Lonchura striata: one gene and its partners. The protein of the gene in region 1 purifies or fractionates together with the protein of each later gene. This does not show direct contact. Links are inferred from orthologs where the notes say so. Each region holds a gene or a part of one and is shown on either strand. Other genes may lie near its edges.

The links.
Region 2: the proteins of POLR1C (region 1) and POLR3E purify together in Homo sapiens (affinity purification with mass spectrometry; 5 studies listed by BioGRID and IntAct, counting the BioPlex papers as one, with this or other methods). This does not show direct contact. The link is inferred for Lonchura striata from reciprocal best matches to the Homo sapiens genes POLR1C and POLR3E.
Region 3: the proteins of POLR1C (region 1) and CRCP purify together in Homo sapiens (affinity purification with mass spectrometry; 5 studies listed by BioGRID and IntAct, counting the BioPlex papers as one, with this or other methods). This does not show direct contact. The link is inferred for Lonchura striata from reciprocal best matches to the Homo sapiens genes POLR1C and CRCP.
Region 4: the proteins of POLR1C (region 1) and POLR1E purify together in Homo sapiens (affinity purification with mass spectrometry; 5 studies listed by BioGRID and IntAct, counting the BioPlex papers as one, with this or other methods). This does not show direct contact. The link is inferred for Lonchura striata from reciprocal best matches to the Homo sapiens genes POLR1C and POLR1E.

Annotation. Positions count from the first base shown.
Region 1 is NC_134605.1:36,008,585-36,016,557, forward strand, and holds the start of POLR1C (DNA-directed RNA polymerases I and III subunit RPAC1), read left to right. Parts: upstream 1-4,961; 5' UTR 4,962-4,999; coding exon 5,000-5,068; intron 5,069-5,159; coding exon 5,160-5,231; intron 5,232-5,313; coding exon 5,314-5,421; intron 5,422-5,942; coding exon 5,943-6,075; intron 6,076-6,179; coding exon 6,180-6,299; intron 6,300-6,465; coding exon 6,466-6,618; intron 6,619-6,776; coding exon 6,777-6,926; intron 6,927-7,435; coding exon 7,436-7,552; intron 7,553-7,866; coding exon 7,867-7,973. Other genes in the region: protein YIPF3, read right to left, coding at 213-334, 1,649-1,772, 2,233-2,346, 2,864-2,995, 3,331-3,423, 3,719-3,764, 4,350-4,456, 4,536-4,742 and 1 more. UniProt on the Homo sapiens protein: DNA-dependent RNA polymerase catalyzes the transcription of DNA into RNA using the four ribonucleoside triphosphates as substrates.
Region 2 is NC_134618.1:10,694,225-10,701,883, reverse strand, and holds the start of POLR3E (DNA-directed RNA polymerase III subunit RPC5), read right to left. Parts: upstream 3,009-7,659; 5' UTR 2,897-3,008; intron 1-2,896. UniProt on the Homo sapiens protein: DNA-dependent RNA polymerase catalyzes the transcription of DNA into RNA using the four ribonucleoside triphosphates as substrates.
Region 3 is NC_134622.1:6,502,153-6,509,908, forward strand, and holds the start of CRCP (DNA-directed RNA polymerase III subunit RPC9), read left to right. Parts: upstream 1-4,748; 5' UTR 4,749-4,886; coding exon 4,887-4,894; intron 4,895-7,756. UniProt on the Homo sapiens protein: DNA-dependent RNA polymerase catalyzes the transcription of DNA into RNA using the four ribonucleoside triphosphates as substrates.
Region 4 is NC_134642.1:86,297,288-86,304,741, forward strand, and holds the start of POLR1E (DNA-directed RNA polymerase I subunit RPA49), read right to left. Parts: upstream 3,009-7,454; 5' UTR 2,917-3,008; coding exon 2,850-2,916; intron 2,755-2,849; coding exon 2,651-2,754; intron 2,464-2,650; coding exon 2,387-2,463; intron 1,314-2,386; coding exon 1,228-1,313; intron 705-1,227; coding exon 649-704; intron 1-648. Other genes in the region: ZBTB5 (zinc finger and BTB domain-containing protein 5), read left to right, coding at 4,899-6,923. UniProt on the Homo sapiens protein: Component of RNA polymerase I (Pol I), a DNA-dependent RNA polymerase which synthesizes ribosomal RNA precursors using the four ribonucleoside triphosphates as substrates.

The DNA of each region.
Region 1 (7,973 bases):
GGGGAAGAGTGCAGCTCTTCTGAGTCACTGAGGTGTGACTCACTTCCACTGAGTCCACTCAACTGCCCAAAACCGCAATGCAGAGGACAGGTCCAGGAAAACAAAACCAAGTTGTCTTCTTGCTGTTCTGTCCTGTTCCTAACAGGCAGCAGGTTACTGTGGCCCTATGCAGCCCCAAAAGTAGTGAAGGAAGCAAGTCCAAGTCTGTAAAACTAGAGGGTCAATGCAATGGCTTTGGCTGTTGTGTTCAATACAGCATTGGAAACAGCTGGAATGTCTCGGGCAACTCTCTGAAAGGGCGGCATGTTGGGTCCTTCCAATGTGTCCAGGATACCTGGAGAACAGAAAAAAGGGGAGAAAAGCAAGAATTAATTCAGATGATAGCAGATAGCACATTTGTTTTTGCTCTTCTCTCTGTCCAGGTAGTGGTTGAGGGTGGCAGGGCCTGTACACATCAGAACTTGTGCTAGGGGCATGAAAGCTACATGCTCCCAAAAAGTACACAGATCCTTTTACTTTGAGGGTGTCAGACCCAGTCCCTGACATTTGACCTGAATGCAGGTACTGCCAGAGATGTTGCCCTGCTGAGGGAAATTGATAAAATCCTGTTTCTACTTCATTCCAGCACAGATCTCACTCTTAGACCAAGACTTTCTTTTATCCTGAAATACACTTGCAGACTCACATCAGGAACTGCAGCTGTGCTGCAATGTGGAATTTTTGTCACTGCAATGCAAACAGACCATGCTTGGCAGGAAATACACAGACCAATGCAAATGTCCTCAATTCTCTGTCAATTACCCTCTCAAGATTGATAATCAGTTTTGGAGTGCTTTGAGGAAAATTGCCTGGAGTATATTTTATTCTATTTTATCTGCCAGAAAGCTACAGGTCAGAACCTTTGCCATAAAAACAGATTCAGGAAGGACAGGATTTATATCCAAAAGGACTTGTAATGATATTATGCTAATTACGCAGATTTATCAAAAATATCACAAACACTGCCTAAACTGGCTGCCTAAACTCATAATAGACACTTGCAGAATTGCATATTTAGGGATCTGGAAACTCTCTAGAGATGGGGTAGGAGAAGAGTTCTGGTTTTGTTTGGTTTTTTTTTAAGGAAGTTGAAATTTTGTTAGGAGAAAAGAAGAAGAGATAGAAGGAGGACATGAAAATCCATGGCCTGGTTAACAGTACCAGCTGGGGAAGATATAGCTTCTGCTATCTGTGCTATACAACACAAGATACAATAATATGTTCAACAAAGAAGTAAAAACGTATGATACATTTCCTGATCAGAGAAAACCAACCTGACTTCAACAATATTCAGGAAGGGGCTGGACATCTGCATGCAAGAAGAGTCAGTGCTGTTACACTTCACTTGTGGAGAAATAATTACGATCCTGCCTCACAAATTGGGTCTTAAGTGCTAAAACTCAGTGCACAGCAACTACCCCAATGTTTACCTGCTGCCCTACTTGAACAGCTTCTTCTAAAAAGCTAGTGATAGTGATTTTAGAGTTGGAAACTGGCACAGATGCCCAAAAGGACAGATTCAAACTGTCCATCCTCTCTCTCAGAGAGAGAAAAAACAACTTCTCTTCCCCCAGATCTAACAAGATATCTTTGTATCTCCCTTGCTTACCTTCTACCACCTTGTGATAAGCAAAGTGCAGATAGAGGAGGAAAAGCATATGCAGAGCAGCAAGAGTCCCACACAGGATGAGCCGCTGGGTATGTCCCACGGTGCGTGAAACCAACACAGCAACCTAAGAGAGAGGAGGTGATCAGAGGCAGGGCACCTGCTACCTGAGCCGCTGGCACTGCAGTCAGAAACACATGGAAGAACAGGTCAGGCAGTGAGAATCTGCAGGAACACCACACTAAGTCTTTTTTGCAGTTTTCACCAACAAATTTGGAGAAATTTGACACTGTTTTGTATAGGTGAACATTGCCCAGTCTTGCCAAGAGTTCAGGATGCTCAGGCATGGCTCTCCACAGCAGCAAGAGCTGTAAGGGAGTAAATAAACCTCCTGCAGCTCTTAGAATGGGTGAGGATATTAATCCAAATAGCACTTCCATATAGCAGTGGCCAAATTATTCAGGAGCATCATTTTCTCCAGAGCAGTTCGTCTGGCTGTGAAATGAACCACCAGGCCAAGGAACAGAAAGCAAACACTTCCGTCCCTTTTTTTGTCCCAGAAAGACCCCAGGCTGCTTATCCCTTACCATCCGTAGTGTAGAGAGTCCACCAACAACCAACCAGAAGATATAGAAGAGGGAGTGGAAGTGAATATTATAGGTGACAAAGAGAGTGATGCAGTGTCCGAAAAGACCGTAGCCCTGACAAAACAAAAATGTCCATGTTAGAAGCACCGGTCCCACACAAAGGGCCATTGATCAAGAGCACAAACCGCCTATTCTTGCAACACTTCACCACAGCAAAGCCTCACAAACCACTCATTCACTGCCGAACAGTCAACCAGAACAACAACTTCAACAGCAGCTCACACACAGATAATCTAAAGGATTCACAGGCATGTCAGAGATTGTGACAACATGGGAAACAGAGGAAATATCCTCCAATCCCAGAGAAACTGGAGTTTCCTGGCTTTTTACCACCAGGTTCTCAAATCAGCAAGTTCAAAGCAGGAGACCTGCATAACGAACTGCCTCTTTGTACTATTGTTGTGCCTGGGATGGTGCAGGTCAGAAGAACATCCCAGAATTCCAGGTTGTCCCAGTGCAGTTACCTGGGACCAGCAGTTTACAAAAAGACTTTGCCTGTTTTTTGGGAAAAACTTATTCTGGAACACCATGCAGCCAGTGTGCATCATAGGGCAGCTCCATGAGTACATACCAATAGTGACAGCATCTGCACCATTGTGATTTGGGCATTGCACAGATATGCCAGGAAATACATGAAAGATGAGACACCCAGCCAGTAACCGAAGCAGGTGCCAATGGCTGTGCCCATCAACGTGCCTTCCCTCTGTGGAGACAGTGTCAGGATGAGGAGAACTCAAAGAAGTGACCTGCCAGTACCCAAATTAACCCATGGGAGTCCCGACACTTTGTAGGCATTATTAAACAGCTGCCCAGCAGCATTCAAGGGGCCACAGGACCTACACCCCAAGCTCTTCCAGCAGCATAGTGTCAAAACTTTCTGGTACATCCTTCTTCCCACCTCCAAACCAACATCCTCAAATCAATCTTCATTTCAGCAAGATGCTTATTCAGTTATAGAAGAGGTTTCCTCTCCTTTTCTAGTGTCATGGCAACCCAGAGCCCAGTCAAACCACCACTTATCACTGAAACTCGACGTACAATGATGGTGTCTGAGGTCTTCATTCCATGCAAAAGAATGGCCACCAGTGTGAAAACCAGCATGAGGGGTCCATACAGCTCGCCTGCAATCTTCTACAGGAGGAGACAGGTGAGGGAAAGTTTGGTTAGAGCCCCAGAATATCAGGGTTCCCACCACAGGTGATGTGAAAAGTGCACTGGATGAAGTTTAGCACCCAGGTTATCACCTGAGGTTAGGTGACAGCACGCTGAGGTTTGGAACAACCATGGGAAGGAGCCACCAACATTTTCAGGAAGAAGAACATCTAACAAACTTAGTCCTTAATAACATGGATTATTACAAGTTTTACAAGGTGTCTGTGGGACAGTCACTTGGCCATGGAGTCTGATTCAGCAAAAGGGAACTCACCTGTGGGAAATTAATCATCTTCACAGGAATCATGGACTCCAGCAGTCTGCATCACAGGAAAGCAGGGAATGACAACAGGAGCAGCGAGAACAACAGGAGAATTAACAAAATACTTCATAAGTAAAAGACACCATATACCCATTACCAGTGTTTGCTATTGTGTTGACAGCCTTTGAGGGACAGTGGATTCTTTCTAAAGGGTGAGTCAAGGTCACTAAAGAACGAAAACCTTCCTGTCAAGTGGGTTAACTTTGCTGAGGAGGGGCAGATTTAATGAAAATATTTAGGGATCCACTCAGGGATGAGAGATCATTGACAGAAGAGCAGGAAGGAAAGGCAAGTTTCCTCATAAAGTCTCACAAAACTTTGCTTCGTTGGACACAGCTGTGTTGCAAACCCAACAGAAGCCACATAGGGCAGCCAAGTACAAAAAGAGTCCCTTCTCCTACACTCAGCAGCAATGCCAGGTGACAGGGCTGCCAGCCCAAGCACAGCACCTCGCTAAGGCGGGCAGGACAAGGCACGATGTGTCTGCCCATAGGTGAGCGTTCCTGCGGGGGCAACTGGCGCTCGCTCGGGCCTGGCAGCCAGACTGCTGCGGGCTCGGAGCCGCTGCCTCCCCGCAGCCCACCTGGCTCGCACTTGGACGGGCTCCACATCGAAGTAGGGCCGGAGGATGTCGATGTTGGCGTAGAGGCTGAAGGCCCTGGAGGCTTGTCTCTTCCCCACCTGCCACATCTGCGGAGAGAAGGAGCGGGCAGCGGCCGGGCGGGCAGGCAGGACCCGGGGCCGGAGGCTGACGGGGGACAGCGCTCACCTGGTCAGCGACCTGCCGGCCCAGCTGCCCCCGCAGCCCCTTCATGCCCAGGAACTCCCCGTCCTCCTCCTCCTCGCCGGCGCCCGCCTCGCCCTCCGCCTCCTCCTCCTCCTCCTTCATGCGCTGGTGCATCTCCCCCATGTCCTCGAAGCTGGAGCCCGACGTGTCGTCCATGTTCTCCATGTCGATGACAGCGGAGCCACCACCCTGCGCCGGGGCAGACTCGGTGTCAGCACCCCCTCGGCCCGGCCCGGCCCCGCCGCCCCCGGCCCGGCCCCACCTGCATGTTGTCCTCGAAGCCGCCCCATTCGGCGGCGGGGGCGCCGCTCCTGCCGCCGCCCGCCGCCCCCGGCGCGGCCATGGCGCCGCTCCCGGCCCCGCCGCGCTGGCCCGGATGGGCGGGAGCGGATGTGACGGAGCCTCCCGGCGCAGCAGCACCGCCAGCAGCGCCGCCCATCGCGCTCATGGCGGCGCGGCGGGGCACGGACGAGATGCGGGACCGCGTGGTGCTGGGCGAGTTCGGCGTGCGCAACGTGAGCGAGCCCGGCGGGCGGGACGGGGCGGGGCGGCCGGCGCCCGCACCCCCTCACCCCCTCACCGCCCCGCCTTGCCCTCTCCCCGCAGGTCCACACCACCGACTTCCCCGGGAACTACCCCGGCTACGAGGACGCCTGGGACCAGCGGCGCTTCGAGGAGGTGGGTGAGCGGCGCCGGGCCGGGGCTGCCCGTGGGTACGGGGCCCTGCAGCCGGCTGACCCGCGGTGCGCGGCTCCCACAGGCGTTCCGCGTGGACGTGATCCGTGAGGAAGAGGACGCCCTGGAGTTCGACATGGTGGGCATCGACGCCGCCATCGCCAACGCCTTCCGCCGCATCCTGCTCGCCGAGGTACCTCTGCTCACCTGGTGGTGCCGGCCTAAGCCTGGCTTGACAGGGAGCGTGGAATGTCCAGCATTGTCAGCCCTTGCGGACAGCTGCGGGCTTTGGAAGAGAAGCACACGTTCGTTCCGCATGGGTGCCAGGAGCCCAAAGAGAATTAGGACTTTAGCAGCATGGGCAATAGCGCCTGCTGGTCCTAGGGGTGCTTTGGTAGTGTCTGCGGGTCAGCCATTTCAACACAGCTGCGTGGCCAACCCAACAGAAGCCACATGATGCTGCCAAGTACTAACAGGTTCAGGATGCCCCAAAGCCCTTTTTCCTGTCCTTCATCTCTTGATTGTTTAAAAAGACGGGGATAGGAATAGATGTGGTGTACGGGTATATTGCATAGCCTGATTTGGTAGAAATACCACTCAAAATAGTCTGCTTGGCAGTTATTTGTGGGAGAGGAGGGACACTTGAGCTGCATAATCTCTTGGCATGTAGTTCAACTATTGTCTTAAGCTGACTTGATCTCTTGTCTCCTTGAGGTGCCAACGATGGCTGTAGAGAAGGTGTTTGTGTACAACAACACATCCATTGTGCAGGATGAAATTCTGGCTCATCGGTTGGGCCTCATCCCTATCCGAGCTGACCCTAGGCTCTTTGAGTACAGAAACCAAGGTGAGAATCTTGAACAGAATAGAAATATTGAAGGTTTCTCTCAAAGTAGGAAATCAGGGTTGTGTAAACTGAGCAGAAGTGTGATTTCATATGCTTCTTCCCAGGAGATCAGGAAGGCACTGAAATTGATACTCTGCAGTTTCAGCTGAAAATCAAATGCAAACGAAACCCTCAGGCTGCCAAGGAATCATCTGATCCTGATGAACTATATTTCAATCATAAAGGTGAGATTGCTCCTAAAAATAGGTGCTGTTTTTTCTTTTTGGTTTTGGGCTGTTTTCTCAGCCCTGTGTGCTCACAGGGAGAGTTGATTCCATTCTGCTAAACTTTCTTTTTGCTATCTCCAGTCCTATACAGCAGCTGGCTGATGCTTGTGGCTTCTCTTTGCAGTGTACAGTAAACACATGACATGGGTGCCCCTGGGGAATCAGACAGACCTTTTCCCAGATGCTGACTTCCGACCTGTTCATGATGACATCCTCATTGCACTGTTGCGACCTGGACAGGAAATAGATGTGCTTATGCACTGTGTCAAGGGTATAGGTGAGTCGTGGCTCCTGGGGCAGCGGGAATGTTTGGAGTAGGGCACTGCAGTGTGATGGGGAAGGGTGGAGAACTGGCTTTTCCCCTGGAACTTCAGGCCTGAGCATCCTTGTTCCCTGAGGCCTGCTCTCATCCTTGACTCTTAACTCTTCATACAGGTAAGGATCATGCCAAGTTTTCTCCTGTGGCCACAGCCAGTTATCGACTGCTTCCTGACATTACTCTCCTGCAGCCTATTGAGGATGAGGCAGCTGAGATGTTGCAGAAGTGCTTCTCCCCTGGAGTCATTGAGATCCAGAATATCAATGGTACTTTTTTCCTGCGCTAACTGCCTTGTTCCTTGCAAGCTTTAGATTGGAGCTTAGAGCCAAACTTTGCAGAAACAAAACCACATGTAATGTTGCTGTGCTGATCAATGGTTCATGTTCTTCCGAGCCTACTTTTATGGATGAGTAGCTGCCATGTGCAGCATGTTGGGTGACAAACACGGATGTCCCTGAAATAAATTGGATACCTGTCCGCAGAGCTCTGCAGCTGTTGACTGCAGCTTGCAGTGCTGTTCAGTTGTGACACTGGGTAGTGAGCTGGAAAAGCAGCTGAGTGTGGAGACTTCTTGTATCTTTCTGGGGTGCATGTACGCTTTGTGTTTGGGTTTTCCTGCCAGGTTAGACTTTCATGTTGGGTATATGCTAATTCTTTTTATTGGTGTCTCCCAGCCTTTGGTGAGGAGGGAGTGCCTGTTTGAGGTAAGCACATGTTGTGACCATAAGGTATCCACCTGCTGCAATTTGTCCATCTCGTTTCATCTTCCCTTTAGGAAAAAAGGTGGCAAGAGTAGCCAATGCACGGTTGGACACATTCAGCAGAGAAGTTTTCCGACATGAGAGTCTGAAAAACCTCGTACGCCTGGCAAGAGTACGGAACCATTACATCTGTAAGTGCCTCGTTTTCCACAGAGTCCTGACATGGTTTGTGTGAGCAAGCAGTGACTGACCAGCATGCATGGCTGGCTCTGTGCCTCTTCCTACCCTCAGCATCCATACATTCAGAACGCAGTGAGTAACTACTTGCTTTGGGATTGAATCTCTTGGTGCTTCCTGCTGGCAAAGGGAGCCGCTTGTCTGGCTGTGAAGATCTGGCTTGTTGCTGTGAGGTGCAAGGGAAGGTGAGGGCCAGCAGCATGGAGCCAGGGGCATGGAGGCTGAGGCTGCCTCGTGGCTGTGCTGACTTGTGTCTGTCTCTGTGCAGTTTCAGTGGAGTCGACAGGTATCTTGCCTCCAGATGTGCTGGTAAGTGAAGCCATCAAGATCCTGATGGGAAAGTGTCAGCGTTTCCTCAATGAGCTGGACTCTGTG
Region 2 (7,659 bases), on another chromosome or scaffold:
TCCATGTTACATCTACAACAATGGCATTTTTTTCAAATACTCAAGCCACCACACAATTTAGGCAGCTCAGTATATTTCAGTTGACATACAGGCTTCTCAAATATCACACTAATGTACACATAGGTATCTAAGAAACCTTTCAAAGAGGCTAGACATTCTGGATGCAAGTGTTATTAACATCCATTCAGGCTTATAGTGTTTCTGCCATTCCACCAAGAAATATAATTCCGTATTTTTCACTTACAGACTCTCTGCTACCAAAAAAGTGCCCCTCCCAATACTGAGCTGGCATTTTCCATTTCTTTATGCACCAGCATGTCCCAGGGTCTTTGTACCATACATATGTATTTAAAAATTTATGCCTCAGTATTTCAGATTCCTATCTGAAGTAATGTTGTAGAAATGCAAAACACCTTCACAGCAAAAAGCCAGTACCTTAACCACAGGCTGGACTGTGAGCAAAACCATGAGTATGTGATATCTGACTGATATCAGTGTTTTTCTGTGATCAGGCACCCAGTTCCTCCCAGAAAGACACATTAATATGTTTTAAAGAAATAAGGTTAGTCAGTTCCTTTTTTGCTTTCCCCACTCACGTCCCCAGGTGGCCCAACACCTGACAGCTCTGCAGACATGGAACAACTGCAGCTTGCACTCAGCTCAGAGCTGATGGTGGGAGGATGCCCAAGATGTGTGAGGACATGTGGCAACACCCAAAAGGTGGGACACTTGGGTCCAAACCCTCCTTCCTCACACCCCTGAGAGAACCAAGAACCACCCTTCCCTTCCTGACAGCCTGCATGCCAAGTATCTGCTAGGCTTGTTCTTTTCTGAGCAAGTTATTTCACTTCCAAGAAGAGAAAACCCTCCTGGGCTAACAGGGACAGAGAAACTCAGCCTGAAGAACCTGGTCTCTGGCCCCTCACTGAACACTGCCTATGCAATTATACACAAAATCTCCTTGGGAATCCACCTGTCACTGCTCAGGGGAAATGCTGCATTACAAAAACTACTTTTTTTTTTCTTAGTCCTGTAAAGATAAAGCATGACTACAGATACTTTTACTGGAAAATGAGACTGACACATCTATAAATAGGAAGCAGTGTGTCCCAGTACAACTTATAATACTCATGCAACCAGAAGAAATCCTCTGAATCAGAATGAAGGCATGCAGACACAATGTCTGATATATACATACATAGTGTTAATTTCCACACTTCTCATATACATATATTTACGATACCACAAGAGTTACATAATGGAATCAAACATTAAGAGACAGCAAAAATGGTCAGCAGGTTTTGGTAGAACCTTCTTGTTTTAAGGACTTTCCTTTAAGGTGCAAATCAAAGTATAATGTGAGTTATCAACTAGCAGGAGGGCAAGAGATAGAAATCTTCTCATTTCTCCTGCAAAGTGACTAATGCAAGGACCAATCCATGATACTGCTCTTTAGCTGCCAATAACACCATCAACATAGAGCCATTGAAGAAAAATTTTGTGGTTAAAAAAACTGTAAAAATGAGTGATGAAGCAACTGAATCCTACATCTCCCTCTGAGCTTTGAAGGGCATTTGAGTATTAGAGATTTAATTTTATTTACTACCAAAGACTTAAATGTAACTGCAAGAAGGTAAATTGCAAACCTGCACATCATTTGACACACATACTTTTAGTCAGGCCTGCAAGAAATGCTCCAGTATTTCATTTTTACCTAAATTTGTCAGTAATAATAGACCCCCAAAGTGCTAACACTAAAACCTGATATATTCTTCATATAATCATGCAGTGACAAAGAAAGGCCAACAACTCCTTCTGGATCAGTGCCTGAAAGTATAAATGCTGAAACGGCAGCGTGGGAAAAATGCCATTTCCTGAATCAGTACCACAACTACCTCTGGCACCCGGGCTCCTCTAGAAGGGGCTCTGAGCAACTCTCTAGCTCAGGGTGGCCCATGGCGCACAGTAAAATGGAATCTGCAAAAAGAAGCTAAAGCACCTTCCATACATTTATGGCAATTATCATTTTGACCCAATTACTTGCTTCATTTTCTCCTCGCCTGCAAGCAGCTTTGCACAGTCATCTTCTGGCAGTGAACCCAAGAGGGCTCCTCTGCACCAGGACCTCTCTCTGGAGGTGATGTCACCGAAGCAAACCTTTGGGGTTTAAGAGATTATGCACCAAGCACAAACCTTTCTTCAGCACCTCACCCCGTGTGCAGCACGGGACGTGCCAGGCCGGGGCTGCCGGGGGCAGGGGTCACTCCCGCCGCGGTGGGACGCTCCCGGGGCAGGTCGCGGTGCCCGAGCCGTGCTCCCCGCGGGCAGCGCTCCCGCCGGCCGCCCCTGGCGCCCGCCCCCTCCTGACACAGCAGCGGGGCAGGGCAGGGGGAAAGGGGAAAGGGGAAAGGGGAAAGGCCACAGCGGCCGCCCGAGCCGCCCGGACCGCGGGGACGCAGCGGATCCCCCCGGGCAGGACGGCTGGGCTGGGCTGCGGCCCCGCAGCGCCGGTGCCACGCAGGGGCAGGCGCTGCACTTCGGGGCGAGTGCGCCGAGTCCTGCCCGGGGAAGGGGCTGCGGGCCCGGCAGGACCGGCGGGGCCGCCGCTCGCAGCCCCCAGAGGAACGGCCGGCAACCCCCGGTGCTGCCGCGGCAGGCGAGGGGCCGCGGCTGCGGCCGGACCCGGCCCGGCCCCCAAGCGCCCCGGCCCGAGCCAGGTCCTGTCAGGGCGCTGCGGCCCCGCGGTGCCGGGTCCTCGCAGTGTCGGCTCCGCCGTCCTCCCCGGACAGGCAGAGCCCACCCCAGCCCAGGCCGCGCTCCTCCCTCGCCACCACCCGCAGGGTCCCCGGCGCCGGGGCGGCCCCGGGAGGCGCAAAAGCAGCGCGGCCCCGCGTACCTGTGTGCGGGCCGGGCGGCGGCGGCGGCGCCGCTCCCCCGCTCCCCGTGTCGGTGGGGCAGCGGTCAGGCAGCCGCCATGTTGGTGGCCCGCGGGCCGGCACGTGGGGACGCGGCGCCTCCTCCTACCCACAATGCTCTCCCGGCCGCCGCTGCCGCCAGGGGGCGATGGCGGCGGCCCGCGGCGCAAAAAGGAACCCGGGCTGGCAGCGGTGGGATTCGAACCCACGCCCCCGAAGAGACTGGAGCCTTAATCCAGCGCCTTAGACCGCTCGGCCACGCTACCGCCACGAGCATGCTGCCTTTTGGCAATGCTTTTACTGCACACCGGTTTGTCCCCGTCTTTCCCACCCTTCTCCTTCCCCAACAACCGCTCTGCCTACACACCCCCTCTACCCGGAAAATAAAATGCGGGGGGGTCCTTTTCAGCCCGTTCCCAAGCAGCGGCACTTGGAGCTGCGCGATGCACCCGAGCCCTCCGCGCCGCGCCCGCTGCCACGTGGATGCCACGGAGCAGCACAGCCGCCTGCGCCGTACGTGTGGCACCGCCCGGGCACCCCCTCTGAAAGCCTAAAAAAAGTTCTAAATTCTAATTGTCCGTTGCAAAGTCAGAGCTCCCTGAATTCGCAAAGTCAAAAGTCAGCAGTTTATGCCTGGGGGGTTGTTCTTTTGCGTATAGCACAGGGACCAGCACGGCAGTACTCAGTACACCTGTGCAAATGCATGGTAGCACACCTCAGCTGCTGGTGCTCCATGCACGTGCCTCTGGAAGTCTCTGGTCGCATTTTGCCTGAAAGTCTGGTGAGTTTTCGTAAAGAATTAATCTTTTTTTTCACCACTTAATTACAACTGAAGGGTTGTATTTTGAGGAAGAACTCCAGCTTCTCTATGGTAAGGCCACAAAGCCTTAATGCAGCTTGATTTAATTCTGTCCTTGTGGCAGTTCATTTAAATAGGATAGAGAAAATAAACCTGCGGGAGCCCTGCTGACAGCATCATTCAACCCTTTCCCCTGGCACCTCCCACAGCCTGTCCCTGCAGCACCCGGTGGTGCCAGCTCTCTTTCCAGGGAGCTGCTGAAATGGAAGCAGGGAATGGTTTTGTTGGGGTTGGAAGTGTCTAAAAAATGTCTGATAGTCCATCCACTAAAGTGAAAAGGGACATCTTCAACCAGATCAGGTAGCTCAGAGCCCTGTCCAACCTGACCTTGAATGTTTACAGGGATAAGGCATCCACCACCTCTCAGAGCAACCTGTGCCAGGCTTTTAGCACTCTCATTGTGAGAGGCTGAAGCACGGCACAGTCTTGCTAAAAAATTCAATTCACTGCCTACAAGTATTGAGGAATAACAGCATACACATGTAAACATGAATAAACTCCTCTAGTGCTGCTGAAGTTTCACACCCTCAGTTCAGTGCCTTTTCAGGATGTGCGGCTTTTTAAGAACAGAGCAGCAGGAGAGGTTCAGGGAGGAGAGAAGGCAGGCAGACCTGAACTGGCTTCACACAACAAATCACCTGTAACCTGCTCAAGAGAAAAGTTTTGGCAAAGAGTCAGTTTTAACAGTCTTCAAGCCTGTGTGTGTGTGCAGGAGGCTGCGTAGCACACTCATTACAAACTGTTCCTTACTGTGTGGGATGCTCAGTCCCACAGGCCCTTTTGCCCAGGCAGTGCAGGGAACTAACACCCTCCTGAAAAGTGCTTTTCTGCCCTGAGCTCAGCCTCTGTCCCTGAAGTGTTTCTGTGCCTGGCCACAGAGACATTTCTCCTGAGCACCAAAGGAAGCCTGTGTACCCAAGATTATTCACATCAGCCACGTGGGAAACAGGGGCTAAGAGCACAGGCTGTCCCTCGGGGGTGGCAGCTGGGTCACCAGTTTTTTCATTTCACCTGTGCAACATCAGTTATAATGGCAGAATCATTTCCAAATTAAAAAATAATTAACGTGAGGAGAACTCAAAATATAGGACAAGCCTCATTACTTTGTTTTCTGGCACAGGATAGCCAAGGACTAGCAAGGACCCACATATACTGGAGTATGTCAGACTCCCAGACTAAAGGCAAGGCCCAATAGCTACAAAGCCCTGAGCTGTCCCCACACAGGAGTTAAGTCCATCAGCAGGAGCAACTGAGAGATATCCCTGAACTTAAACCTGAAAATACCCTGACTCACCCCTGGCAGCATTGCCCTGCATCCGTCCTGAGAGGGTCAAATGAAATTCTGCCTCTCCAAATTCAGATGAGAAGTCCTGACTTGACCCATCGTAACTACACCTGGCTCTGTCAGCACTCATTCTACTCTGAGTGAAATTTTATCTGTGGGGAAGAGAACGAGATTCAAATCAGTCCCACAGACCAGTAATTAAGAAAAAGCCAATATACTTATTTACACTTTATAAGCTGTAAGAGTTTGCTGTCTCCATGGTTTCTGAAGAATGCTATTCTTACTTTGTTACATTTGCCAAACACTCCATCTCTGTGACAGCAGCTATATCTAAAAACTCCAAAGGCCTATAAAGCTAGAGCAGTGCCAAATTTCACCATTTTTCATCTTAGTGATTTCCACAATGCAGAGGCCCACATGGTGCTTTTTTGTTAGGAAATTCTGCTATTTCACAGTGCCCTTTCTAGAAGATAATTTCACATTGTTTAAACTACACAGGTATAAGAAGTTCCACCTGTCTAAATAAAGCAGTAAAAAGGCAACACTAAGAGCTCCATTTTTAACAGTTTGAAAGAGCCTGTTTCAAACAGGCAAGATGACAGTGTATCATTAGATATTGTATCCCACCTGAAATCATAGAGCCCAAGAATTTCCAGCCTATTCTCAGGACTAAACAAAAGCTAAAAGGATAGGGAGGCCTCCGTAGCACCCTGGACATGAGCTTTCCTGTCTTTATATTTTATCCTCCATTGGCTACAGACATATGTAATTACGTGTGTAATCAAATGTAAATCAGAGAGCACATCAACCATTTTGTTTTCTGGTGGAAAACAGATAATTTCCTCCCAGTTAGTTACTTCTGACTGTTAAAAGGGAATAAGGGAATGAAATTGGGAATAGAATAATACAAACAACAGAGAGGATTTCTGGAAGCTTGCAATAGTAGGATTGAATTTTGGCAATTTATAAAGAAAAAAAAAACAACCCAAAAGCAAATACCCACAAGCAATGAGTAACACTCTACTGAGAAAAAGTGACAAAAAGAACAATTTTATTTACTAGCCAGAATGAACCCAGACAAAGTGAATGAGAGTACTAAGTGATGCAGGCAAGAAGTATTTGCTTGTCTGACATACAAAGTCTTCCATCTCACTGTCCTTACCCAAGAAATATTCTGGCAACGCTGAGCCCAGGTAAGTCCTGGCAGGCTGAGCCTCAGATTTATTTTCACATTTTTAAAAAATACAGATTTTTATTTATTCATTGTGAATAGATTAAAAATACAGCGTAAAGCAATATAATTACAAAAAGTCTTTAAAATATACAGTTTTTTCCCTTCAAAAGAATGTCACAGACTAAGTTGCGTATATTTCTGTAAACAATTTCCATTTTCATATTATTGACAGTCCCATTTATTGTATGGCTAAATCATCTGATACATCTTAGGACAGAAGGTAGTCTTCATCACCAAAAAGTAGTATTTGCAAATAAAAAATTAATTAATTTTGCACTGAGTTGTGTGCACATTTACATACCAGATCTACACTGAGCTGTCAGCAACTTCAGCAACTACTGAATTTAGCAAATTAAACTACACCAAGAAGTGTCAATAATTACACTCTACATCCTTTGCATGCACATTTTGGACACTTTCAATCTCCTCCCTAAATGGTTAGTGGTGTGGTAACACATGCTTCCTTCTCAAGGAAAATCTTAAAGATTTGGCATCACCACCTTTTGAGGGAAGCACATCAGGGAAATCCTTCTGTCTGATTTATAGTCCCTCCACTGTATAGGTTCTGCACAAAACAGACTATTCAATTGTCTTCACCTTTCATTGACAGCTGACACCTTAATGCTATGAACTGAAATAGCAAAACAGGCCACATTCCTAGAGAGGCTTTAGGCATCTAAAGCAGAATTTTGGATAGGCACTGAAAAGATTAATATTAATTGCAGTCCTCTGGTTCTATTTCAGCATGTACAAAAAATATTAGGTCCAAAAATCTGGTCGTTTTAGTACCTCACTACCTAAGACCAGCTGAGATCTAGAAATGAGACATTCCTCCATTAATGGGTGAAGAGCTTTGCCCTCACTCTCAAAACGAAACAAAAAAGAAAGAGGCCATGGACACTACTTTCCCACAACCCCTGCTATCTACAGCAAAAAGATGTTGCCATGTGTTGCAAGGCTGCTCACCGCTACAACTGCCTGGTGGTTACAGCACCAGCCAGAAGCAGGACATCCGAGGGTAACTTTCCCTTCCCTCCTAGAAAAGATTCAAATTCTCCCTTAACCACTAGGAGTTCACCTCTTTCAGACAGTGGCAGATGTTACTGACACCACCCTTGGATAAATGTCTAAACAGCAAGTCAAGATCCACTTGCCATAAAAAAGAGAAAATGGGAGCATAATTTGATTCCAGTGACAGGCACTTGGACAGGAAGGGAAGAACCGATTTCTGTTCCCTAAACAGTTTCTGCATTTTACAAGAAATTAATATTCCTTGGCTATGCATGCAAGAAATCCTGATCAATCCTGCATCATCTCATGGCCTGCTTAGCTTTACACCTGCTTTTAAGAGCTTGGCTGAAGTGGT
Region 3 (7,756 bases), on another chromosome or scaffold:
GGGCCGGCCCCGCTCGGGTCCCCCCCGTGTCCCCCGTGTCCCTTCCCAGCCCTGCGCTGCGGCTCGGGGGCAGGGGGTGCTTTGGACAGGGCGGCTTGGGAGGGATGCTCGAGTGATGCTTCTCACCCGGCGTAGCTCCTGCGCTGCGGACAGGTCGGGAATATCCTTGGAATGCCTTGCTGGGGATATCGCATCTCTCTGTGTCACACCCCTCCAACGAGCAATCTTCAATATAAACAGAGCTGATCCAGTGCTCTGTGCCCACTGCCACCCAGCAAACAGAAAAAAACAGATGGGAGCCTCTTGTTCTTTCCCATCTCTGCACGGATGAAAGTGTTCACCCCATCTGGAAAGATGCTGCAGCTCCAAATTTGGGGCTTCTCTGCTGTCCCCAGGTTGTGGGGCCACCTGAGAACCTCGGGCAGTGGCTGTGGGGCTTGGAGTTATGGCAATAACCTCTATCCTAAACTCATCACACCCTAAATATCGTGGAATGAAGTGACTGATGGAAAGGACGAGAGACCTTTTCAAGTAGCAAAGCTGTGGCTCTGCATAAATTTCTCATTAACTCCTCAGACAGAGCATTTACTGCAGCCCCTCCACAGATAGTTGAATATTTTGCTACTTTCTCCAAGTGAGCTCCTGCAGTGCAATATTTTTCCATGTACATTGTCCAAACCCCTCACAGAGTTTAGGAAACATATTCCAGCTTTCTCATCCACGGTTTTTGTTGTATTTTCCTCACTTAAACTGACCCTCTTGTTTGTTTTCTACTGTTCTCTCAGTTCTACAACTTATCCCCTTTTCCTTTTTCCACTGGGAAACTGAAACAGTTCTCGATTCTTTTGCAGTCCTATTCCTTCCTCTTGTGAAATCCCTCGCTTTTACCACCTTTCTTGTCTTTTCCACCTTTTCAAAATGTCCTTTCCTTACTCTGGGCTTTGACAGGAGATCGCCAATATGCTGTGAAAACATTAAGCACTGGGTTTATAACTAGAGTGAGTGGGTGTAAATAAGATTTTGCTAGCCTGTGTCTGATATTACATGTGACAGGGGATATTCCATCCACATGGGATCTGTCAGCAATGCCACTGTGGATTTAGCAAACTTCCCAGGGATTAGTTGGTTTGGAGTGCTCTGCACAGCTCCTGCCCCAGTGTGTATCTAGGAAATGATGAATTCTCTCTTTATTGTTAGATCAAACAGGCAATAATTATGTTTTCTGTATAACAAGCAATGTAGGATGTAGATTAATATATTCATAATGAGTGTGGAATTAAAACAAAATAAAAGCAGAATTCCTCAACTTAAAAATGAACATTGAAGAAATAGGATTTCTTAAGGATGCTTAGAGTTGGAGAGTTGAACTTTGTTGAAGGGAAAACAGTAAAATAGCAATGCAAAATATACTTTCTAATGCAAACTGAATTGTATTCTCATTACTGTCTTCTCCATTTGCTCTGTTTTGGATGTCTCTCCACTTCCCATCACTGCCTCTCAGTGATTTATTTGAAACAGAAAGATTAACCTCAAAATCCCCATCCCACAGTTAATACTGGGGAGGTTCTGAAGGAAAAGTCTCTCTCTTATTTTCCTTTCTGGCACAGGGCATGGCAAATCATTCCTACCTCAATATTCCCAGCTTCACCCTTTTCAAGGTGAAAATAAGTACTGGAGGGTAAATTGCCAATTCTGCAGAACAGAGAAGTTTAATTAAATATATTTGGATGTTCTCAAATATCTGAACTTTATTTGTACTTCTATAGTCCATCAGTCTCTCTCTACTATTTCACTTTTTTTGCTGAAAGAGTGCAATGCTGAAGGAGTGCAGCTCCAAAGGAGCTTTGGTGACTCTGGAAATCCACTTTTCACAACAGGACTGTGAAGGAAAAGGATAGCTGAAACAGCTACAGTGCACCTTCTTTTAAAAACATTATTTTTTTCAGCTGTCTTTTGCTTTGGAGAAAGAAAACAGCTCCATGGGCTGAACGTGCCATGCAAACGCACTGTCAGCTCACCTGACACGGAGCCCTGCTGACATATTTTTGTTCAAAAAAACCCTACCTTTGTTTTTAACTCATTTTTCAATGAAAAAAGGAAAAAAAAAAAAAAGGTGGAAAAAAAAAGAAAAAAATAGAAACCGTAGGGTGCTGAGCAAAATGCTGAACGCAGTAAACATCTTTCATGACAAAGAACACAAATACCCTGCAGATCTGCTGGCAATAGCAAGTCCTGGGCCCCCTGCTTTCAACAGTTAATACTGAGGCCCCTCTCTGCCCAAGCCTTGCTGGTAACAATCACAATGTTAAAATGTTGACATGCTAAGCACATTTGGGAAAAAAACCCATGTCTGCATTCCCTATGGATGGTGTAGCATCACTGTCTAACACCTAAAGAGCAGCAATTAAAACCAAAGTGACCTTCTCACCTCACCCCCTGCCCCGCTGGTTCTCTCTTGATATTCCCTTTCATGATGGAGCTGAGCCATATTTGTATTTACAGCCTGCCAGGCTTCCTGTCTCCGCTGGGAAATGTTTAGGAAGTCTCTATTAGGGAAAAAAAAATGCTGTTGGAAGAGGTGTCGTGCTCCCTCATCCCCAGGTGGGTTGTAAAATGCAGCACTGATTGGAAAAATGTGTCAGGAAAGTGAAATTTTGGGGAAGGGGTGGAAAGAAATGTGTCAGGAAATCAAAATTTTGGGGGAGGGGTGGAAAAAACATGTCAGGAAAGCAAAATTTTGAGGAAAAGGTGGAAAAAACGTGTCAGGAAAGTGAAATTTTGTGGAATGGATGGGAAAAACATGTCAGGAAAGTGAAATTTTGGGGAAAGGGAGGAAAAAACATGTCAGGAAAGCAAAAATTTGAGGAAAAGGGTGGAAAAACATGTCAGGAAAGGAAAATTTTGAGGAAAAGGTGGAAAAAATGTGTCAGGAAAGCGAAATTTTGGTGAAAGCGTGGAAAAAACATGTCAGAAAAGTGAAATTTTGGGGAAAGGGAGGAAAAAACATGTCAGGAAAGTGAATTTCTTGGGGAAATGCAGAAAAATGTGTCAGGAAAGGGAAATTTTGTGGAAAGGGTGGGAAAAACATGTTAGGAAAATGAAATTTTGGGAAAAGGGAGGAAAAAATATGTGAGGAAAGCAAAATTTTGAGGAAAAGGTGGAAAAATGAGTCAGGGAAGTGAAATTTTGACAAAAAGGTAGGAAAAATGTCAGGAAAGTGAAATTTTGAGGCAAATGTAGAAAAAAACATGTCAGGAAAGTGAAATTTTGAGGAAAAGGTGGAAATAAATACAATAATTTGCTGCTGGGGGAGAGATGTAAAGAGATGTAAAGGACACTTAAGATAATTGTGCTGAAGGTTCTGAACCTTTAGCTGCAGAGGGTGGTGAGAGGCAGACAAGGATTGACAGATTTCTGGAATGAAACCCTGAAATTTGATTGTCTGGAAATACAGTATTTTCACATGAAACCTGCCATCTTTTCCCTTCTTTCAGGCAGCTGCACGTGGAGGGTTTGGGACATGGCAGAGCAGCCACAGAATTTTTACTGTGCCAGTTTTGGCCAACTTACAAGGCCAGTTAATCCTGACATGAAAAAGGGCATCATCCATCACATCCTGTGCTCTGAATCACACAGCAGCTCTCAGACTTCTCTCCTGGCTCTTTTTTTATTCCACAGGACTCCACAATAAGTTATTTTGAAATATAAATAAATTTCTATCCGTGTGTGGTGGGGCGCACATGCCCACCAAAACTTTTTTTTAGGCGTTTTCAAATTAAAAGGGCTGAAAAGCCTTTGCAGTTGGCTTTTAAATTTTGTCCAGCACTTTTATATTTGGTGATGGAAATTCCTGGAAAACTGGGAGCTGCTCCTTTCCAGCTGTCCTGGCACTGCAGACTGTTCCTAAAGCACCACAGTTTGCTCGTGTTACTCTGAATTAGTTTAGGATTTGCAATACCCCAAGGAGAGGAAAAGCCTTAATTTTGTCTGGTTTAGTCGTGGAGAAAACAGTGGCTGGTGGGTTTTGTGCTGGAATTGCAAGGCAGAGGTTGCAGGCACAAGGTTGACTCATTCAGTTCCCTAAATCCCTAAAAGTCCCTTAAATCCCAGCTGCAAGCAAGCAAATACATCTGTATGACACTCCTTAGGGAGTTAGAGGTGCTGCATCTGGATATAAAATTTTCCCTGAGAGATAATATCAAAATTAAGGAATTCTATTTCCCTGGCCAGGTAATTTTCCTTGCGGTTTCCATCAGGATTTTTAGCTGTTTGCACTCATTGAAATGAAGATGGTTTTACTGAGGATGAAAAGAGCTCTTGGAAAATTTAACAGCACATGGTTTAGACGGGAAAGAGTCACGGTGACAGCTGGGGAAGGAACGGTGCTGATAAATTGGATGGATGCATCGAAAAACAACAGGAGTATTGCAAAAACACTTCAGCCCTGCAGCACATGGCTAAAGATTTGATTAAAAATATTTTCGCGTTACTGTTTTGCCTTGGTCACAGTTAACAGCGGCTAATTGCCAATTTGAGTAATTTCGGAGACAAATGACAATTTTCTGACTGATGTATGCACAAAGGCCGTGATAAAAAGTCGTCTCTCATCGCCGGCATTGGTGGTTCAGTGGTAGAATTCTCGCCTGCCACGCGGGAGGCCCGGGTTCGATTCCCGGCCAATGCAGCTGATATTTTCCGGTTTTTCTTGTTTTATTTATTTATTTCTTTTAAGTTCCTTATTTCTCCTTCCGCTTCCGTGTCGGCCGCCAAATCCTCCTTCAGCTCCACGGGGCCTCGGCCGGCTGCTCCCCCGCCGTGCCCCGCCGGGCTGCGGCTGCCCCGGGGGAGCGGGAGGATCCTCGGGGAGGCCGCGCCGGGAGGACGAGATGGAGGTGTAAGGACCGGCCTGAGGGGGGCACGGGGGAGGACAAATGGAGGTGTAAGGACCGGCCTGAGGGGGGCACGGGGGAGGACAAATGGAGGTGTAAGGACCGGCCTGAGGGGGGCACGGGGGAGGACAAATGGAGGTGTAAGGACCGGCCTGAGGGGGGCACGGGGGAGGACAAATGGAGCTGTAAGGAAGGGTGTGAGGGGAGGACAGCGGGGCTGCGGGGCACCTCAGTGGGGTTTGTGTGGGGAAAAATCTCCGTGCGGCTGCATCTCCATGGGAGTGGGGTGTGTGTGGGCACATCTGTATGATTTATTAAAAAATCTGGATATTGATCTAGTACCGATGTCCAGCTGTGATGGACAAACACTCTCTAACAGTTTAAAGTTAGACAGTGTGTGTTTATTGTGTGCGGGATTGCTCCCAGATACACACCGCAGCTTCCAAGTGATTACAGCGCCCTTTTATCCGTATTGAATACCCAAAATACAAATCCATATTAATCATTTTGGTACATCCCATTCCTCACTTCCTATGCTAATAATTTCAAAAGCCATTCAGCATGCTTGGTTTGTTCCTTGAAATGGGTCGGTGTCCCTTCCATGGGGAGGGGTCCCAAAACGAGGAAGTAAATGAAGTCTTCATCTTCCTCGTTCTGACCTTTCTACCTTTTCAATGCAAATATGACAAATTAACTCTTGGTGGAACTCCCATTCCTTGTCTTCAATTGGTTTCAGAACAGAGTGGGCCGCAATTGTCTTATGTTCCTAAAAGCTATTTGTCAATTTATATTCTTCATTATAAACCAGCTAACTAAACATTGTGCTGACAAGCAATCAATTATTAACTACTAACTCTTTAACTTCTACTAATCTATTTAATTAACTCTAGTAAGGCTTATCTCTAACTAAAATCTTAGCTCCTCTAAAATCTCTAAATTCCTTAAAATTTACATTTCAAATCCGTGAGGGGTGTGAGGGTACTGTGAATCTGTGATGTGAAAAACACCAATCACTTGGTTTTTAAAATTTTGAAAGTTTAATAATAATAAAATGGTTATAAAAATAGTAATATAATTAGAGTAATAAAATTTAGAGTTAGGACAATTACAAGGCAATAAAAAGCAAAGAATTACAGACGTCCAGATGCTCTTGGACGCTAAGTCATGAAAAGCATCCCTTGTGAAGAAAGGAATAACCTTAAAAGCAACAGCCTGATGCATATTCATATATCTCATACATGAGATACATAAATTCTTCGTAAATTAAAACTTTTTGGTTTTGTCAACTTCTTCTCCTTAATCCTGTTGGTTCCACAAAGATGGAGAGAAGGTGGAAGAATTTTTGTCTTTTCTGATAAGGAGGCTGTAACTTTTTATGGGCCCCCTTCGCTGACATCTCTGTGTGATGAGTTTATTGATTATCTGATCTTCCTGCTTGAGATTGTAACAAATCCTATATCACAGAGTTTCTATTTTAACATTATGTTGTAAGCTAAAACTACATTTAGCACACTACTTAAGAGAATTAATACAGCATAACTTTCTAACATTACACATATAATATTCATTTGCAGAAAGCCAATCATAAAATATGCATTTTTCACACGTGAGGGATGTGAGGGTACAGCTCCCAGCAATAAGTTCAGGTGTTCTGCTCAATGTCAGAGGGGTTTATTTTATTAAAACTCCTGCTGGACAAGCTGTTGGGGTGAAAGGTGGTGTGGCTCAGCCTGGCTCGCTCTTTTCGCCTCCTGTCTCCTCCCTCTGCCCTGCAAGAGGCAAAATGAGATTTTTTCATTATTCCCATGAGCTTTGTGTAGGAGCTGGAAATGCTGGAGAAGGATAAAACCTGCGGGGTTTGTGCCAGCCACTGCAAGCACAATAAGAGAGTCAGAATTTTGGCTGGTGGCTCTTTCAGGCCTTCTTACTGTGTGTTTCAGGTACAAAGCAATAGGATTTGACCTGTTTTGACACTTAAAATCTCACGAGTTCTGTGGAGCTGGTTAAATTTCTAGTTTTCATTTAATTTTAATTTCTCTAATGGGTGGGGGCATTAATGGGATGTGTCTCCCAAAATCACTGAGCTTCTGCAGCCCTGTAGTCCAGGGATGCTTTATTATCATGAAATCTTCTCTACTGTGAACATGAAAATCAAAATTTGATAAAAAATATGAAACATCTGCTGAAGTACAGTGAAGTGCAGTCTTAATGTGAGTAGCAGCCGGCAGAGAAATGATCTGTTCTGGCTGTTGTACACTAAGAAAAATGCTTTTACCATTTATAAAAAAATCTGTGATGCTTCTTACACATCCACTGAGTTTTTATTAATCTTCTTTTGCCTCCTGCCTGATTTGGAAGGGAAGCTTTGCAATTCTCTAAGTTCTTACTGTGGATTTTTCTTACCAGAATTATTCTGTATTTCTTACCAGAATTATCTGTTATTAGAGAAAAGAACTCTCAGAAAACAGTGTGGTTTAAATATACAACACATGTGAAACAGCAGACTTAAAATATGGATGTCAGTGATTTTTGTAAAGATGTGATGCCCTTTACCAAGGTATTTTTTGATATATTCAGCCCTACTCAAGAGTATTTTGGTTTAGGCTAAAATTTGGGCAAATACGAGCTCTTTAAAGACTCTAAAAAGTGTTTATATTTTTGCTGTTACCATGAAAATTTTCACCTTTCTGCTTAAGTCTTAATCACATAAAAATTAAGCAAAGTGTTGAGCTGACTGCTTAAAAATAGACATTAGAATCCATTACTCAGATTTCTTTGTTTCCTGACTGTAAAATTGGGAGCTGCGAGTCAGGACAGAAGGAAATTTCATTTCTATTGCAAATGCTGATCAATTTATAATTTTGGCA
Region 4 (7,454 bases), on another chromosome or scaffold:
GTGAAACACCCTGTGCACCCAGGGAACACAGACCCCAAATCCAACACCCTGAGCACCAGGGAACACAAACCCCAAATCCAACACCCTGTGCACCCAGGGAAATCCAACACCCTGTGCACCCAGGGAACACAAACCCCAAATCCAACACCCTGTGCACCAGGGAACACAAACCCCAAACCCACCTGCACAAGGCAGAAACACAAACTGAAACTCCCTGTGCACCCAGGGAACACAAACCCCAAACCCCAAATCCATCTGCACAAACAGAAACACACACTGAAACCTATGCACCCAGGGAACACAAACCCCAAACCCACCTGCACAAGGCAGGAACACACACTGAACACAAACCCTGCTGCTCCTCCCACACTTTAAACTCCTCCTGTGGCAGGACCCGCAGGTGCAGGGTGCGCTGCTCTGCGAGGGGCAGGAGGTCACTGGGCTGGTGACCAGCCTGCAATAACCAGGTAAACCAAGAAAATGAGGAAAATGCTCCTGAGCCAGGCAATGCTCATGCTGCCTCCTGGACACTGGGAAAATGCTGGCCCTGCACAGGTTCACCCTACAGGACAGCAAACCTCCCAGGCTGCAGACAAGCCCCTCACAGCTGGACAGTCACAGCAGAGCAGGACACAGCTCCAACCTTACCTTCTCCCTGTAGGATTTCTTCTGATACTCCTTTGTGTCGTCAGGTATCATGTTATCTACAAAACAGCAAGAGTCAGTTTGCTTGCACAGAAGAAGCAGGACAGGAATTCCTTTGGCTCTGTGACCGACAGACTGGGCACAGGACCTGCTCCATGTCCCCTGGCTCAGTAAAGGACATGACAAATATGAGAACCTAGGAAAAAAGGCTTCTTCTTCAAAGCCTTACATGCAATATATGGACTATGGCCCAGCCCACGTCCTGCTGCTCAGGGTAAAAATCAGCCACAATAGATGTGACCCTTTGGGCAATGACAAAAAGCAGCCCTGCTGGATAAAACCTGTGGGTTTTTGGTTTTATTTTGTTATTCAGGGGTGCAATTCCTGCTGAGGGTCAGGCTCCCTCAGCAGAAGGCTCCCAGAGAAGGCAGCACCTGAGCAGTGAGGCTCTGTGAGTGCCTCCCCGCCTGTAGAGTCCCTGCTGAGCCCCCAGCCGTGCTCCCCCTCCCAGGCTGTGCAGGAGCTGTCCCTGTCCCTGCCATGGGCACCAGGACACAGCCCCGGGCTGCCAGCACCTCCCACCTGAGAGCAGGGGCTGCATGTTGAATATTTCAGCATTGTAGACCTCCATCTGCCCAGAGCTCCTGTCCAGCACGCCAACAAAGTACCTGGGGAGAACAGGGCACTGATCAGCGAGAGGCAGAGAGCAGAAATCATTTCAATGTCATGGTTGTCTCACAGCCCAGCAGCTCTCCTGCCTTGCACACACAGCACTACAATAAGCCAAGGCTCCTCCATGGCATGTGTGCACACAACAACAGAAGAACTGATACTCTAAGTAAGTGCAGAAGTCCTAAAAACAACTGAATTCGGTACAGTGTAGGTGCCAGAATTCTGCTTTTTTCTCTTAAAGTGTAGGTGCCAACATTCTGCTGTTTCCTTTTCCCTTTCTTTTTGCTAGGCAGGACTCGATGGCCATAGCTTGAACAACAGCTGAATTTCCAAATTTCCTCCCAGAGCTCATGATCCTCAGAGCTGCAGGCAAGCAGCCCAGCAGCCCCCAGACCACTGGCTCACCAGTGTGAGGCCCGTGTGCTGCTTTGCTAGCCCCAGCAGTGCTCTGCTAGCCCCGAGCAGTGCTCTGCTAGCCCCGAGCAGTGCTAGCAGTGCTCTGCTAGCCCCGAGCAGTGCTCTGCTATCCCTGAGCAGTGCTCTGCTATCCCCGAGCAGTGCTCTGCTATCCCTGAGCAGTGCTCTGCTATCCCCGAGCAGTGCTCTGCTATCCCTGAGCAGTGCTCTGCTAGCCCCCCCCAGTGCTCTGCTATCCCCGAGCAGTGCTCTGCTAACCCCGAGCAGTGCTCTGCTATCCCTGAGCAGTGCTCTGCTATCCCCCCCCAGTGCTCTGCTAGCCCCACCCAGTGCTCTGCTATCCCCGAGCACTGCTCTGCTAGCCCCACCCAGTGCTCTGCTATCCCTGAGCAGTGCTCTGCTAGCCCCACCCAGTGCTCTGCTAGCCCCCCCCCAGTGCTCTGCTATCCCCGAGCACTGCTCTGCTAGCCCCACCCAGTGCTCTGCTAGCCCCCCCCCAGTGCTCTGCTATCCCCGAGCAGTGCTCTGCTAGCCCCACCCAGTGCTCTGCTAGCCCCCAGCGGTGCTCTGCTAGCACCATGTGCTGCTCTGCTAGCCCCCAGCGGTGCTCTGCTAGCCCCCAGCAGTGCTCTGCTAGCCCCGTGCTCCTCACCTGCACAGGGAGCTGCACTTCGTCCCGTCGGTGCCGAAGTTGTGCCCCACGTAGCAGAGCCGCTCCGTCTCCGAGACCTGGGAAAGTGGGAGAGACCCCTGGAGAGGGCTGAGGGACACCAGGAGAGCTCCTGGGGAACCCAGAGACACCAGGATGGTTCACACCCCCCGCTCTGAGCCCGTTATCCGCCCCTGCCCCGCCGTGTGCCACTCCCGCTCCATCCCGCACCCCGGTACTCCGGTACCGCGGGTGCCGGGCGCTTACCAGGATCCTGTGGTGCTTCTTCCGCGGGTGCGTCGCCTCCCGGTGCCGGTACGCGGCGAAGCGCAGCGAGTCGGGCCGCTCCAGCCGGCCGTTGGCGAACCGCACTAAGGGAGAGGAAAGCCCGTGAGGCGTGGGGCCGCCGCCACCCCCGGGGCCGCTGCCACTCCCGGGACCCGCCGCTACTCGCGGGGCCGCTCACCGAGCGCCGCCGGCAGCTCCGGCTCGGGGTCCCCGCGGTAGCGCCAGATGGCGGTGGCGGTGGCCATGGTGAGGGCTGGGCCTGGCTGGGCCGGGCTGGGCCGGGGACGCCGCTCGGTGCCGGTGCCGATGCCGCTCCTCCGCCTCTTCCGCTGGTGCTTCCGGTCGCGGCAATAAGCCCAGTCCCCATTGGGTGAGGTGAGGCTCCACCGCCGCCTGGAAGTAACGGGGCCGCCGGTTGGCTGCCGGCGCGGCGCGCGCCGCCCGCGGCCGGAAGTGACGTAGGGTGTCGGCGCGGCGGGGCGGGAGCGGGGCCGGGGCCGAGCCCAGGCCCGATCCCGATCCCGGTCCCGATCCCGAGCCTCGCACCGCCCGTCCCGCACCGCCCTTCCCGCACGGACACCGCAGGTGAGCGCGGCGGCGGGGGGCGGACACCGCGGAGCCCAGCGCCGGGCGACACCGTGGCTCTCCGGTGTCCCCGGTGCGGCCGTGCGCGGCACGGAGCGCAGTGCCCGCTGCGCGGTCCCCGCTGCTGGTGCAGCGCGGCGGGGCAGGTGCTCCTCTGGGAGGGGCACGCATGCTGGCTGGTCCCGGTGGTGCGTAAGGGAAAAACGGGGAAATAACGGGGAGAAAACGGGGGAATGGGGCAGTGTCTCGGGAAGAGCAGCTCCCGGCAGGAGAACCCAGTCATCGCAGGTCGGGTGACGTTCCGGACTCTCAGAGGCTCTAAATCACTTCATTTTCCCGTGCTGAACAGTGCAGGTGATGCCAGGTGAACGATCTGCCGTTGTGACTCCCTCCGAGGACACGCTGGGATTCCGGGGAGAGCCCCCGGCCAGCACCGGCAGCGGTGGCAGGGAGCAGAGAGCAGCAAACAGCTCCGTGTTTGAGGACGGACCTTGCTGTGCACCCTCCTCAAAGTGTGATCCCGGCCGTGTGCCCTTTCTTTCAGGCTGCACTGGGGTCTGGCTGTGTTGTGCTCTTTCCTTCAGGCTGCTCTGGGGTCTGGCTGTGTTGGGCCCTTCTGGCTGTGCTGGGCTCTGGCTGCATTGTGCCCTTTCCTTCTGGCTGTGCTGGGGTCCCGTGCCCGTCAGTGCTGCTGCAGAATAATGTGAGCTCAGGAACTGCTGTGTGTGTGCCTGGGGAGTGCTCACCGAGCCTTACACGGCACGGGGAGAAATGGAGATACTCTGAGGGTCACCTCCGTGGTCCTGAGGTTGATCTGCAGGACAGGTCTGATGTTAGGTGGTGAGGACTGGGGAGAAGCCAGCCCCGGCTGCTGGCTGCTTGGCTGGCTGGGCAGTGCCGTGTTTTTCTGGGGAAGGTTGCCCAGGTGTGCTAGCAGTGTGTCAGAGGGACAGCAGGTCGTTTCGATCAGTTTCACCAACCAGAAGCGACTGTTTCACAGTAGGTGTGGGTGTGAGGAGACCCACGCAGTCTGGGCTCCAGCACAGCTGCCTGTGTGTGGCTGGTGCTGAGCTCAGGCTCGTGGTGTTGTCACTGCTCCTTCTTGTCCTCCCGACCTGCCTTTGGTGCTGTGCCCATGTGCTGGTGGGACACTCAGGGCTGTTTGTCTGTCTGTCTGTCAGCTGTCAGCTCTTGTCCTAGCTGCCAGGTTGGCTGCAGCCCGGCCAGGAGTTCAGCCGTAGGATCACACAGCAGCTTGGCTTGGGAGGGCACCTTGTCTTCTTCCACCCCAGCCAGGGCAGGGACACCTCCCACTGTCCCAGCTGCTCCAGTCCCAGTGTCCAGCCTGGCCTGGGCACTGCCAGGGATCCAGGGGCAGCCACAACTGTGCCAGGGCCTGCCCACCCTGCCAGGGAACAGTTCCATCTTGTGCTGCTGTTTTTCAGTTTGAACCCAGTCCCTGTTCTCCTTCACTGCAGACTCCCATGAATAGTCTTGTAGCCCCTTCAGGCCTGGAAGGCCGTGGTGAGGCCGCCCTGCAGGCTGCACAATCCCAGTTCAGCCATGCTCTGCTTGCAGCAGAGCTGCTCCCCCGGCCAGCCCGGCGGCCCACACAGCGGTTCTCTTGTGTTTTTGCAGGACCATGGATTTCCCTGGGCACTTTGAGCAGGTCTTCCAGCAGCTGAACTACCAGCGGCTGCACGGGCAGCTGTGCGACTGCGTGATCGTGGTGGGCAACCGGCACTTCAAGGCGCACCGCTCGGTGCTGGCCGCCTGCAGCACGCACTTCCGCGCGCTCTTCACCGTGGCCGAGGGCGACCAGAGCATGAACATGATCCAGCTGGACAGCGAGGTGGTGACGGCCGAGGCCTTCGCCGCGCTCATCGACATGATGTACACGTCCACGCTGATGCTGGGCGAGAGCAACGTGATGGACGTGCTGCTGGCCGCCTCGCACCTGCACCTCAACTCGGTGGTCAAGGCCTGCAAGCACTACCTGACGACGCGGACGCTGCCGCTGTCGCCGCCCAGCGAGCCCGCGCAGGAGCAGAGCGCGCGGCTGCAGCGCTCCTTCATGCTGCAGCAGCTGGGGCTCAGCATCGTCAGCTCGGCGCTGGGCTCCTCGCAGGGCGCCGAGGAGCCGCCCGGCGCGCTGGGCGCGGCGCTGCGCGGCGGGCTGGAGCAGCGCGCCGCCTTCCCCATGCGCCGCCTGCACAAGCGCAAGCAGTCCTCCGAGGAGCGCGCCCGCCAGCGCGTCCGCCCCGCCATGGACGAGCCCGTGGCCGACGTGGCCGCTGAGAGCGGGCAGCCCAGCGTGCACTCCCGGGAGGATTTCTTCTCTCCGGACTCGCTCAAGATCGTGGACAACTCCAAGGCCGACGCGGTTGCCGATAACCAGGAGGACAACACGATCATGTTCGACCAGTCCTTCGGCGCTCAGGAGGACGCCCAGGTGCCCAGCCAGTCGGACAATGGTGAGGGGAACATCTCCCAGATGTCTATGGCGTCCCAGGCCACGCAGGTGGAGACCAGCTACGACCAGGAGGCTGCTGCTGAGAAGAGCAACTTCCCGTGCGAAAACCCCGAGGTCAGTCTGAACGAGAAGGAGCACATGAGGGTGGTGGTGAAGTCTGAGCCCCTGAGCTCCCCGGAGCCCCAGGACGAGGTGAGCGATGTCACCTCGCAGGCGGAGGGCAGCGAGTCGGTGGAGGTGGAAGGAGGAGTGGTGAGCGCAGAGAAGATCGAGCTGAGTCCCGAGAGCAGCGACCGCAGCTTCTCGGACCCGCAGTCCAGCACCGACAGGGTGGGGGACATCCACATCATGGAGGTGTCCAACAACCTGGAACACAAGTCTTCTTTCAGCATTTCCAACTTTCTGAATAAAAGCAGGGGAAGTGGCTTTGGCGCCAGCCAAAGCAACGACGACAACATTCCCAACACCACCAGCGACTGCAGGATGGACAGTGACGCCCCTTACCTGATGAGCCCGGAGTCGGGGCCCGCCGGCAGCCACTCGTCCGCCGCCGTGTCGCACGTGGAGAACCCGTTCAGTGAGCCCACAGACTCCCACTTCGTGCGGCCCATGCAGGATGTGATGGGTCTGCCATGCGTGCAGAGCTCCGGCTACCGAGCGGCGGAGCAGTTCGGCATGGATTTCCCACGCTCCGGCCTGGGCCTGCACTCGCTGTCTCGGGCCATGATGGGTTCTGTGAGAGGCGGAGCCGGTGGCTTCCCCGGCTACCGCCGCATCGCCCCCAAGATGCCCGTGGTGACCTCGGTGCGGAGCTCGCAGCTGCAGGAGAGCTCCTCGGGGTCGCAGCTGATGATGAACGGCGGCAGTTCCTTCGAGGGCGGGCACCTGTCGCAGCCAGGCCCGCCGCAGCTGACGCGCGCCTCCGCTGACGTGCTGTCCAAGTGCAAGAAGGCCCTGTCGGAGCACAACGTGCTGGTGGTGGAGGGTGCGCGCAAGTACGCCTGCAAGATCTGCTGCAAGACCTTCCTGACGCTGACGGACTGCAAGAAGCACATCCGCGTGCACACGGGGGAGAAGCCCTACGCCTGCCTCAAGTGCGGCAAGCGCTTCAGCCAGTCCAGCCACCTCTACAAACACTCCAAGACCACCTGCCTTAGGTGGCAGAGCAGCAACCTGCCCAGCAGTTTGCTGTGAGCCCGGCAGGCAGGCGGGCGGGCGCACACCGGCGTGCCACGGTGCCAAACATAGTCTTGGCTCTGCCATTGGGGATATCCGGTACCTACCTCGCGGGTGTCGCCGCCGGGAGCCGCGCGGCGGGATGGGGATGCGACCCCCACGGCCAAGAGCCCCTTTGCAGGGCAGAGGGGCGACAGCACGGGGGTCTCCTGAAATAGCACGGTTTGAGAACAAGAAACTGACGTGCGCTTTCCTTTCTTTTTGTCTTCTCTCTAAAGCGTTTTGTAACAGTGGAAGCATTTAAATGATTACTGTAACATGAGTTGCTGCATTACCTGAGGATGGAGCTGCAGACCCCTTACCTTTCAAAGAGGAAAACAGCTTAGGCTGCACCTGTCTGACATAATGCTTTAAAATACGCTACTTACGACGATAGTTCTAGGATTATGAATGTATGTTTGGCTGTTTTGTAGTAAAGGACACTGTGTAATCAAGGTGCTTAAATTAAATCCCACACAAATAACTTTCGGACTGCCAGGTGTACATATA